Linked DNA regions of Bombyx mori. The protein of the gene in region 1 binds, or shares a complex with, the protein of each later gene. Links are inferred from orthologs where the notes say so. Each region holds a gene or a part of one and is shown in the gene's direction. Other genes may lie near its edges.

The links.
Region 2: RING-type E3 ubiquitin-protein ligase PPIL2 (region 1) and cysteine-rich PDZ-binding protein share a complex: the UniProt entries of both Homo sapiens proteins name them as parts of the minor spliceosome. The link is inferred for Bombyx mori from reciprocal best matches to the Homo sapiens genes PPIL2 and CRIPT.
Region 3: RING-type E3 ubiquitin-protein ligase PPIL2 (region 1) and E3 ubiquitin-protein ligase RNF113A share a complex: the UniProt entries of both Homo sapiens proteins name them as parts of the minor spliceosome. The link is inferred for Bombyx mori from reciprocal best matches to the Homo sapiens genes PPIL2 and RNF113A.

What each region holds. Positions count from the first base shown.
Region 1 is NC_085116.1:14,590,565-14,594,860, forward strand, and holds the start of RING-type E3 ubiquitin-protein ligase PPIL2, read left to right. Parts: upstream 1-1,824; 5' UTR 1,825-2,000; coding exon 2,001-2,032; intron 2,033-2,103; coding exon 2,104-2,323; intron 2,324-2,787; coding exon 2,788-3,100; intron 3,101-3,432; coding exon 3,433-3,557; intron 3,558-4,277; coding exon 4,278-4,296. Other genes in the region: ubiquitin-conjugating enzyme E2-24 kDa, read right to left, coding at 34-348. UniProt on the Homo sapiens protein: Has a ubiquitin-protein ligase activity acting as an E3 ubiquitin protein ligase or as an ubiquitin-ubiquitin ligase promoting elongation of ubiquitin chains on substrates.
Region 2 is NC_085130.1:5,681,215-5,685,510, reverse strand, and holds cysteine-rich PDZ-binding protein, read left to right. Parts: upstream 1-1,451; 5' UTR 1,452-1,713; coding exon 1,714-1,886; intron 1,887-3,472; coding exon 3,473-3,602; 3' UTR 3,603-3,681; downstream 3,682-4,296. Other genes in the region: drebrin-like protein, read left to right, coding at 1-572. UniProt on the Homo sapiens protein: As a component of the minor spliceosome, involved in the splicing of U12-type introns in pre-mRNAs. Involved in the cytoskeletal anchoring of DLG4 in excitatory synapses.
Region 3 is NC_085108.1:7,585,516-7,589,811, forward strand, and holds the start of E3 ubiquitin-protein ligase RNF113A, read left to right. Parts: upstream 1-1,703; 5' UTR 1,704-1,953; coding exon 1,954-2,047; intron 2,048-3,317; coding exon 3,318-3,469; intron 3,470-4,020; coding exon 4,021-4,173; intron 4,174-4,296. UniProt on the Homo sapiens protein: Required for pre-mRNA splicing as component of the spliceosome. As a component of the minor spliceosome, involved in the splicing of U12-type introns in pre-mRNAs. E3 ubiquitin-protein ligase that catalyzes the transfer of ubiquitin onto target proteins.

The sequences.
Region 1 (4,296 bases):
CTTTTGTATCCAATAATCCATTGTGTAAATTACCTTTGGTGGCTTAAACGGGTATTCTGGTGAAAAATGAATGTCTAGGAAGAATACTCCTCCTTCATACACTGAGCCTGGTGGCCCAAGGATGGTAGACACCCATTCATACAAATTATCTCCTTTTGGTCCTGCACTGCAGTTTGGTGGTGGGTCCAATGTAATTTCTGCCAATTCCTTTTGAATCCTCTTGGCCGATGTGCCGAGAGCCTTTGACATTTTATGGTTTGGTTTGTTCTCTTTCGTGTCTGGTTTGCCGTCTGTTGCACTTCTGCCTCGACCAGTTCCACTGCCTGATGAACCAGATGCACCAGACATTATCTAAAAGCATCAAACGCCTAATTCTGCATAACGAAGCGGTGTGTTAAGAAAAGCAAACGATGTGCAATAAAAAAATATCAGTTACTATCCATGCTTGTATGTTGACATTATTACATGTGAGTAAAATAACTTCAAAACATTGATGACAATGAATAATCTAAATGAGACTCATTTACACTGAACGTTGAAAATTAATACTGATTCCCAAATTAACTATTGGCGTGCAACGTTCCAGTAATTTGGGTCAGGACCAGGTAGAAAATTTTGTCTTGCACTTTTTTTTTGTTGGAAGCTCGAGCAAAAAATTCGACACAAAGACATTCAGATACTTCAATTTAAAAAAATTAAACTGCAAAATATAAACACAGAGACGCAAAATAAATTGAATCGCAAATCATTCACTTATGTAAAAGATCTAGGGACAAAATACGATTTAAAAAAGATTTATTTGTACCTTACGAATAACAGTCGGCCATCTTGTGGGCTGGCGTTATCCGATAATTTACGATTTTTGGTATCCAATTACCAGTTTCTGAGAATTTCAGGTGTTCTGACGGGTAACAAATAAGTAACGAAAATACTTTTCCACTTTAGGAATTAACAACCCCTATATGTACCAAAGGAATCTCGACGACGATGTCCGCACTGCAAAGCCCAAATCACCGAGTTACTTTCCCGTAATTCAATACTACTTCGAGACTTATAACTGAAATATACCTTATTTAATGATAAACTTGTGCTTTTTTCTGTTTTCTGACTATTCTTTATTACTTGTAGCAATTACCACATTTCAACCATTTGATCGTCAGCCGTCACCCGCACCAACACAAACAACTTCGTAATTTTTCACGCTGCCACTTCGTAAATTCAGAATCTTTATGAATTATAAATCAAGACTAAACAATTATCTAATAGATAAATTTACTACTCATACAATACAAATTAATTTTACTTAATCTAACTAATTACTATTAATCAATTGTTAAAGAAAAATTACAAAAATTTACACAATGCACAACCACTTTCCGACATTTTCTACTTTTTTACCAATGTTGCCGCTTGATAAATTCTTTAAATAATTGCCAGGGTTTTAAGAAATAAGGATCTTATTGTGTTGACGTTTTCTCCTGTTGGTAGAAACTTGAAGATTCTATTTGACTGCAGATTATTTTATGTACCTATTATGCTAATTTACTTTTCATCAGAAGTAAGCCTGTAATAACGTTGATAATAATTAAATTACTCTTACGATTTAATCTCGGGTTATTTCATAGTAATAATTGTTATATATTTAGTAGTTATAATAAGCCAACGACTCGCGAAACCCGAAGAAAATAATTATAATATTGATAAACTCGATTTGCTTTCACAGTTTCTCTGTGAAGTAATGTCAACTATTTTACAAAAAGTATACTTATGTTTATTTATTTATTTCAAATGATGCTAAAAAGTCACGCCACCAGTGGCTGTAAAAAATAATTTAAGAAAAACTTCGATACGACAACACTACCATTTTCAAAACAAGATCTGCAATCAAGCTTAATTAAAATCAAAATATATTTTCTTCTTTCTGACTCTGAGAGAATTAAGCAACAGTGTTATTTATTTAACGTACCTACTTAATTATAATATCGTAAAAAACACTCAAGATGGGGAAACGACAGCATCAAAAAGATAAAATGTAAGCTTGTCATTGACTATGTTTAGAGCCTAAATATTCTACTATTTCAAAACGTTTTCCGTAAATTTAAGGTATTTAACGTATACGGAATGGACAACTCTCTACGGTGGAAAACGTTCTGGAACGGCTACTGAAGAAGATACAACATTTAAAAGACTTCCATTCGATCACTGTTGTCTTTGTTTGCAGCCCTTTGACGATCCCTACTGTGATGCAGACGGCAATGTATTTGAATTGCAAGCTATCATTGATTTTCGAAAAAAGTTTAAAATTAATCCTGTGACTGGAAAGGTTAGTTCGATAAGGATTGTAAATATTTTTATATATTGCTAAGGTGGGCGGACGAGCTCCAACCCACTTGGTGTCAAGAGATCACCCGAGCCCATAGACATCAACAACGTAAATGACGCTGCCAACTTGAGACATGAGTTCCACATCTAATTTTTTCAGTAAAACGGCTGCCAATAGAAACGCATTACTGCTTCATGGCAGAAATAGACAGAGTGGTGGAACCTACCCTTGTAGGCTTGCCCTGCCAACAGTGATTACACAAATTACAATTTCTGTGGTAATGATTTTCATTGCACTATGTGATTCTATCAAGGTGGAAGGCATTAGTGAACATTTACCAATGTATCAATGCACTGGGATTCTTATCCCATAAGCCACAATAACTTGAAAATTGTATTTAAATATCAATTGGCTATGCACATAAGATTAAAATAAGTAAATGAATAACTTTTTTTTTGTTACAGAAACTTGATATAAAAACTCTAATAAAGTTAAACTTCTTCAAAAATGCTGAAGATGCCTACCACTGCCCAGTATTATTTAAACCCTTTACAAAAAACTCGCATATTGTTGCCATACGCACTAGTGGAAATGTCTACTCTTATGAGGCTGTTGAACAGCTCAATATCAAAGGCAAAAATTGGAAGGACCTGGTTGATGATACACCCTTTGCTGCACGTAATGATATTATCACTATTCAGGACCCTCAAAACTTGGCAAAGTTTAATATATCAAATTTTCATCACATAAAACACAATTTACGTGTTGAAACTGAAGGTAACTCAATTATTGTTCGTGTATAACTAGTTGTAGTTCTGAATATAATAACGAACATTTAAAAAAAATTACATTTTGAACTAAATTTAATGTGATTAATGAGAGTTAAAAGGTTATGATTGCCTATATAAGCTGGTAGTAGCTGAGGCATAAATAAATTGTTGCCTTAGTAGTCAAGTGGTGTTTTTGACTAAACTTTTTGTAACAAAAGCAATTTACTAAAATTTAACCAAGCAATTTTACTCTCATAACTACCGCTGTTCAAGTGATATTTCATTGACTTTTGAAAAAAATGAAAGTTAACTTAAACATTGTTAAATTTGCTCATTTAGAGGAAATAGCATTGAAAAAAGACCCACATGCAAGATTGAAAACAGTATCTGCCGAAACAAAAGATATATTACAAGAATTAGAAAAGGACTATAAGGCACCAGAAAAGAAAGAAGATCAAAAAGAGGTAGGTGTGGACTTCAATACAATTCAGATCAGGCAGGTCTTTAAAAACAATGGATGCTGTTATATTTATTATTTAAAAATGTTCCTAATTATCATTCAACATAAATATAAAATCTTTGTACTTTGCTTAAGCAATTGAATAGTAACTTGGTACTTGATGGAGAATGTCAATAGTTTTTTTTTATTGCTTAAATGGGTGGACGAGCTCACAGCCCACCTGGTGTTAAGTGGTTACTGGAGCCCATAGACATCCACAACGTAAATGCGCCACCCACCTTGAGATATAAGTTCTAAGGTCTCAAGTATAGTTACACCGGCTGCCCCACCCTTCAAACCAAAACGCATTACTGCTTCACGGCAGAAATAGGCAGGGTGGTGGTACCCACACGCGCGGTCTCACAAGAGGTCCTACCACCAGTAATTACGCAAATTATAACTTTGCGGGTTTGATTTTTATTATACGATGTTATTCCTTCACTGTGGAAGTCAATCGTGAACATTAGTTGAGTACGTATTTCATTAGAAAAATTGGTACCCGCCGAGATTCGAATACCGGTGCATCACTCAACACGAATGCACCGGACGTCTTATCCTTTAGGCCACGACGACTTCTAAGATTTCTTCTAAGTTTACTAAATAGCAAATAGGTTATGTACCAATTTAAAGAAAATACAAAAACTTTGGATATTCCCCTTTGTTAAAATATTTTTATTTGTTTCAGTCTGCCGACAAATTCAATG
Region 2 (4,296 bases), on another chromosome or scaffold:
CCTCTCCCGGACACGACGATCCCGGAGATCAGTCCCCCGGAGACACCGGACATACAGACCGAACGGACAGAGAGCGACTCCAACCCGAGCATCACGACCACCAAGAGCCTACAACAATAACCGACGAACATCAATCTCAACCGATGTCCAAAGATGATGAAAAACCCTACAAAAATCAAAACGATGCACCAATTAAATCAGAAAGACCAATGGACGTAGAGCATAAAGAACAGACTTATCAAGAGGATGCGAATTTCATTGGACAGGAACAAAATTACGAAGCAACAGAAATGCAATACCAACCTGAATACCAAAATAATTACGAGGAGCCGACTTACGCAAACGAACAATATGAAAATTATGAACAATATCAGCAATATGCTGACCCCAACGCGCAATATAGCGAAGAACAATACAACAACATAGCCGAAGTCAACTACCAACCCGAGCAGAATTACGAACAAAGCTATGAGAACACAGCGGAGGCTCCACAAGAACAATATTACCCAGAGTCAAATGACACAAATCCAAGTGATGCTCCAACGAAAATGGCGGAGGAACATCAGAGTTAGCAATTCGTATGTTTTTATTTCTTGCAACATTCCGTTACAACGCTTTTGATAGAGTAACGTGCCACTAATATAGATTAGCTTTCGGCGTCGGATAAATAAACTATGAAAGTTGAATGTGTTGAATAATAAAATCTATTGAAATGTTTATCGAGAAACGAGTTAATAAATCGCTCAATACTTATATTGCAATTGGATATGATGTTTTATTTGATGTTTTTTTTATCTACAGGGAAAACGTGATTATTTTGTTTTTTTCTTCAACTTAAGCCCCATGATCTCGATTTTGTCTTGACGGTTTCTAAAACAATATACAAAGTACTTAAGGGTCAGGGTGCGCACAGAAGTCGTGTAGGACTATGCGATTTATAAGTGGCACGAGTTGGCTTCGAACCTATTTGGACTGCCAAGCAGTTCTTGTTTGCATGAGACCGACGTTACACTATTTAATTTGAAGAAAATACAGCACGAAACATTAAGGACTATTTGGCGGGCACTCAAGCTGTTACTTTTTAATTTAATGTCTCTTCAGGCTTAAAATTTACATATTAATCGATTAGAATTCGTAAAAGTACATTGAAATATTAACCGTAGTCTTAGTGAAAAATAGGCCGTGGCATAACGGGCCCTTCCAAAAAGTCCGTGGAAAATAGGAAGAATAAGTCCGTCTTAGTAAACCAACTGTCCACCCATTTGATTGCAAGGTATTTTCATCTCATCTAAGTCCTGACCGTCTTTTATATTAATTCATTGAATTTCATTTTCTTTATTCAATTTAATTCCAGAACCAATTCAATTTGTATTATGTATTGTTTTAGTTCCACTTTTAATACCACAGACACGGAACCGCACTTCGGTACAAGTTTTGACTGTATGGGCTTCATTCCTGTTGCCTATCCAAATGACAATTCAAAAGAAAACTATTAGTAACAACATCAACTTAAATAAATTTTATTTCTAACAAATATTAAGTGTATTAACTATGATTTCTTAATAAAACTAGCTGTTCACTAGCAGAGCATATTTTAATATTTGATAAGTAATATTTAATTAATATAACCTACATATTATTCAGTCAAAACAACAATTTAATAAAATTTCGTACTAATACAAGCTCGTTAGGTTAGTAAGAAACAGAACAAAAATGGTTTGTGAGAAGTGCGAAAAGAAATTGGGCAGAGTAATAACGCCGGACCCTTGGAAGGCTGGAGCTAGGAATACCGTGGAGTCCGGCGGACGTGTTGTTGGAGAAAACAAAGCATTAACCGCCAAAAAAGGACGATTTAATCCGTACACTTCCACATTTCAACAGTGCAAGTGAGTAATCCTGATGTTTAAAAACCAATTTTGCCTCATACATTCTTAATAATACTTCCCCAATTTTACCTCATACATTCTTAATAATACTTCCCCAATTTTAACTCATACATTCTTAATAATACTTCCCCAATTTTAACTCATACATTCTTAATAATACTTCTCCAATTTTAACTCATACATTCTTAATAGTACTTCCCCAATTTTGCCTCATACATTCTTAATAATACTTCCCCAATTTTACCTCATACATTCTTAATAATACTTCCCCAATTTTACCTCATACATTCTTAATAATACTTCCCCAATTTTAACTCATACATTCTTAATAATACTTCTCCAATTTTAACTCATACATTCTTAATAGTACTTCCCCAATTTTGCCTCATACATTCTTAATAATACTTCCCCAATTTTGCCTCATACATTCTTAATAATACTTCCCCAATTTTGCCTCATACATTCTTAATAATACTTCCCCAATTTTACCTCATACATTCTTAATAATACTTCCCCAATTTTAACTCATACATTCTTAATAATACTTCTCCAATTTTAACTCATACATTCTTAATAGTACTTCCCCAATTTTGCCTCATACATTCTTAATAATACTTCCCCAATTTTGCCTCATACATTCTTAATAATACTTCCCCAATTTTACCTCATACATTCTTAATAATACTTCCCCAATTTTAACTCATACATTCTTAATAATACTTCTCCAATTTTAACTCATACATTCTTAATAATACTTCCCCAATTTTGCCTCATATATTCATAATAATACTTCCTAATCCCGAACGCTTCAGACAAACACACTAAATACTGCTGGACTTTTAGTTACCAATATGTAAAATAACAATACAATAAAAGTTAGTTGTTACTTGTTTGAAGGATGTTTTTTATATTCATTATCCCTTCTTCTCTTGAGTGATTTATTTAGTACACTACATGGGTAGATTAATAGGGCCATAGATGATTGTAATGTGTACGTTGTTTTTATATGAAGAGATGCAGTTGAAGATTTATTCGAATTTAAAAATGGCTCTCCTTTGAAAATGGGACAAATTTATGGTTGCAATAACTAGGTTTGTGGAACCTATTTCAGTACATTACACCATACCACCTCCACCTCCTCGTGTCGTTTTCCTCATTACTGAACTCCCCCGCTGCATCAGTTTCTTCCGTACGATTTCCCTCCATCTGCTGCGATCCTTAGCTTCATGAAGGACATTGTGGAAGTTGATGTTCAGAGAAGATTGTATTTAGTCCGACCATCTCGTGGTACTGCATCCTCTTGGACGTTTGCCATCTTCCTTTCCTGTCAGCATCAGCTGTTCTAGATTGTGACCCTCTTTACGGGCAATATGTCCGAAGAATTCCAGCACCCAACGAAGGCATATATTGGAAAGACTAGTTATGATATTAAGCTCTCTCAGAATAGTCACGTTGGTGAGAAAGGCATTCCATGGAATCTGTAACGTTTTTCTCCAGCTCCACATTTCAAAGGCGTCTATTAGGTCTAACCATACCTCCAGTAAAATGTATTAAAAGTTTTTAAAATATATTCTTTTATTTTTCAGAATCTGCAGAACGAAAGTACACCAGGTCGGATCACATTACTGCCAAGCTTGTGCATACAAAAAGGGTATATGTGCCATGTGTGGAAAGAAGATTCTAGACACTAAGAATTACAGACAGAGCTCAACTTAGTTTATTGTTATGTTATCCTAGTTCATAAGAAACATTACCTAAATAAGTTCTAAAAGAAAAAATATAGTGTATTTGTAAAGCAATGCTTTATATGCCTTGGACTATTTTAAGATAATAATAAAGATACTGGAAATTTCCTCACGGATGGTAAAGTGTGATTGCTTCGAGGAATAAACAGATAGGATTGTAATGCCAACCTATGAACACCCACAATTAGCGGTACTACAGATAATCAAGACTTGAATCCAAGAAATCGGTTTCAAAAATGAAATGAGAATAATTCTAACACTCATGAATGATGACAAATTATAATGATTGTTACAAGTTGTCATCTGTCCTATCTATGTTCTAAATAATCTGAATAATTCTGAATATATGTTTATTTATTTATTTATAACTTTATATACTAAACGGTATAAAGGACTTAATGCCATAGGCATTCTCTAACAGTCTACCTTAGGGGGGTGCAGAGATGAACCTTGGTAGGTGTAGTGTGAAGGTGATATTACTTAAACATATGTGTATATGAGTCGTCTATTATCAAAGGTGGCAATCTGTGCATTTGGACAAAATATTTTTATTGATATGTCAATACAGATTGATTTGAATATAATCGTCTCCTTCAAAGAATACGGTTCAAAACCTTCACTAAATAAAGGTTAATAGTTAACCTGTTATTTATCTAAGATTTCGT
Region 3 (4,296 bases), on another chromosome or scaffold:
ACCTATCCGTGCGGACTCACAAGAAGTCCTACCACCAGTAAAAAGGTATTTAATTACCAGGTATTTAAAATATATTCTGTACTTGAATTTTTTACAAAGAAACAAGCTAAATTTAACAAAATATGTTCAAACCTAACTGACAATTAATTTCATTTATTTTTTTATCCTGTTGATAGTTTTCAGAATATTAGAGCTAGCTTATTTATAAAATTATGGCATCGGTGTCGGTCCTTGATGCGTGTTGAAATTTTCGAGTTGATTAAAAGTCTTGAAGTCGGCGAAAATGACGTTCAGAGACTTCACTACATACAGACATACATACAAATTTTGGACAATACTACCTACTCATCAAAATTAATCACATTTTTACAAATCACGAAAGGCGAGTATGAAAAGTATTCTGGGCTCTTCAGAAAAATTATCTCTTATCATACTACATAATTAGTGATCATTCTTAAATGTTTTTTGTGGCAGCCATTAATGGTGTATACAAAATAATTTATCTATGCGAGCACACAATACCTATACACAATTATTATTTTTACAGTTTGCATTTTATTACACGATGTCATTCTTTTATTGTGTTTCATAAATGTGCACTTCTCATAACGGTCATCTAAGAAATACAAAACGGGGCCGCGTTGCAGAATACGGCAATATTAAGCCTGACAAGTGACAAGCAATCAGTGAGCGCTGTAACCTGTGACGTTTTAATACAAGGATCGATAAAACTAGACTGAGTTTTTTGTGCATTCCTTAAAATATCAAGTCGTCGTGCCCTAAAGGATAAATCGTCCGGTGCATTCGTGTTGAGCGATGCACCGGTGTTCGAATCCCGCAGGCGGGTACCAATTTTTCTAATGAAATACGTACTCAACAAATGTTCACGATTGTCTTCCACGGGGAAGGAATAACATCGTGTATTAAAAATCAAACCCACAAAATTATAATTTGCGTAATCACTGGTGGTAGAACCTCTCGTGAGTCCGCAAGGGCAGATACCACCACCCTGCCTATTTCCGCCGTGAAGCAGTAATGCGTTTCGGTTCGAAGCGTGGGGTAGCCGTTGTAACTATACTGAGACCTTAGAACTTATATCTCAAGATGGGTGGCGCATTTACGTTGTAGATGTCTATGGGCTCCAGTAACCACTGAACATCAGGTGCGCTGTGAGCTCGTCCATCCATCTAAGCAATAAAAAAAAAATTACACCCTAAACCTTTTAGCATTCAATATTTCCAGTTTGTATGGTAAATTATGATTCCACTTCCACTTTATTTCAAGGCAGCTAATGACTTTATTAATTTATCTATTTATTATTACTATAAAAGAGACATGAACATCGTGATAAGAATAGTGTTTATTATGTCCATTACAATGTTTGAGTTTTAACTCTGGTTTCAACTTTTAACAGTAGTAGTAGAAAGGGCTTAAGTGTGAAAAAAAAAAGAATTCCTCAATGTGGCTGTGTGGCTGCTCGGGTCCCTTCCAAATTGCCTAGAAGCCTCAATAAGTCTCCGCTAATTTACTGACAGGCTATTTTATTTCATCTTATACAACATGTACGGCTTTCTCTTATTTAACCTTATTATTCCATATGCTAATTTAAGTTTTGATTTAACTTCAGGCATTGCTATAAATGTTTAAGCTATGTTGTATGGGCAGTATTCCCTCCATTCAATAGACAAATCATAGTTTAAAAAAACAACTATCCGTCAAAATCAATCACATGTCAATGTTAAAAATGAGCATTATTTTGATCATTGCCAATATTATCATGTTGTGAAATGCAAAAATTAATTAAAAACCCTATAAATACCGACAATACTTGAAGGTCCTAAAGTGAAATACAGTACTTTTATTTAGTATTATTGTGTCCTCATTAATGATTATGTAGATATTACTCTAATATCGTAGTAAGCACACACTAGGTTGAATAAACAATCGTTCAAAATGTCAGACGCCGAAGTGGAAGTACTCAGTACTTTTAAAAAACGTAATATTAAGAATAGGGGTGGCAGAAAACGTAAAACTTCCAGTTCAGAAGGTAATATTGATCGTTAAGTTATTAAATTATTCTCCAAACGAAAGACATCTAAGAATAGTACATTAAAACTATCTCATCGCTTCTTCATATCCTCTTTCTCACTGTTCCCAGACCCCCGTATTATAAGTGCTTTTATTAAGTGTATAACTACTAACTATAAAATTATAATTATATGTAGCGCATTATTCTCTGTACATAATCTTTATTATAATATGTAAGTTTGTAGTAACATTAATTTTGTGTTAGTCCCAGGCACCATTAATATAGCCAAAATTGGATACTTTTTATAATATAAAGTGTGTTTAAATAGCTCGACAATGTTCCATATGTAGCCATAACACGACACTGGCAGAAATTGCTGGCAGAAACTATCGGCAGATTACCATTATAAAAAAAATATATCGACGCTTGAAAGGCAAAAGTGACTAAGCGACAATAACTGCTTTGCACATAAATGATAGGCAATAACCATATTCGATCCGCAAAAAATATATATTTCTAGGTCTATTAAAATTATTTCAATCCTACAGCTACTAGCTAGTTTCTACTACAACTGGATTCGTTAAAATAAATTTTGTTTTCATGTATTTCAACTTTAAATTAGTCTACCGTAAAGTTCACGCATTGTCGCTTAGTCACGTTTGCCTTTCAAGTGTCGATATATATTTTATCATATGAGGCCGTCAGCGCAAAAGCAGCCTAAGCGTACTATAGTTATTATGGAGCAATGAGGCTTTAGTTTTCATGAATTTGAATTTGAGTTGGCAAAAAAAACAATATGCGCTAAAATAATGATTACAAAGCCATCTGCTTTCTATGGGTGAAACTATGGATAGGCCGGTTTTGCATAAAAATTTATTATATATTAAATAAATTGCAATATACATGATTATAAGCATGAAAAATTGTGGGTTAGGCCACTTTTGCGCTGACAGCCTCATATATACTTGATATTTTTTTTTTTTATAAATATAAATATTTACTAACAATCACTCCACGTTAACTGGTCCCGTGCTAAGTTCGTAAAGAACTTGTGTTACAAGTACCAGATAACGGAAATAAATATAATATTTTTATTATACACATATATATATATATATATATATATATTTAATATACACCCATAACCCTGGAAAGACATTTATATTTATCATACAAATATCTTCCCTTGGCGGGATTCGAACCTGCGACCCCCTTGTGTAGTGACCATGTCACTTACCACTACACCAGACGGCTGCTTAATATATAATTTAATATAGTAACGTTTCAGAGAAAAACAGCTCGGACTCTGATGAGCAACAAGTAGTTCTACCAACGAAAAGGGTGAACAAACCAAATCCAAACATACAGTCTACAGGAGGTCCGAAGAAATCCAAAATTGATGTAATTGAAGATAATGATGATAGTAATGATGAAGAAAAGGTATAGTAACATTAACAGCTCATCATCATCATCAACTCACTTGGATATCATCAGATTTGATAATCTGATCTATAATGAGATCTGCACCTTTGAAGCACCAGATATAAGATATCATAAACAGGCTGTTGGTCCATCTTGTAGAAGGCCTACCCACACTTCAAATCTTCACATACTTCATACATATTTAGATATATAATAGCCACTTGAGAACTTTTGGTTCCAACAGCCTGCTTGCTGCCATTTCAGCCTTTCGGGTTGTCTTTTTTTATTCCTTAAGTTCTTAAGTGGTTACAGGAGCCCATAGACATCTACAAAGTAAATGCCGCCATGCATCTTGAGATATTTGTTAGTGTCTCAGTTATATCTCCACTGAAATCAATATTATCAACAATTAGAGCAGTTTATCTTTACTTAAATCTGGCACACATCTTTTTATCTCTTTAATCTTTTTACACGTCATCTTTATGTTGAAGTCTTGTCTTCTGTATTGAACATAAAAAAAAACCGTTTTAAGATCCATTTAGATCAACATAAGCTTACAATTCTTTCAGACTTCTCAAAGGACAACACTATCGGTTCAACAACAGAGAGAGAATGCAACAGCTACCTATGAATTAGACACAGAAAAGGATAGAGATGCCCAAGCCATCTTTGAGAAGGCTCAGAAGATCAATGAAGAGTTGCACGGACAAGCAGATGATAAGGTATCCATTTCTTCTTCTTCTTCTTCTTCTTTGTCGTTTCCTCATTACTGAGGATCGTGACCACCTTGGTCCAGTTTTTGCACCAGCTTCCTCCAATGTTGCCTGAGGGAGAATGCGGGAGGG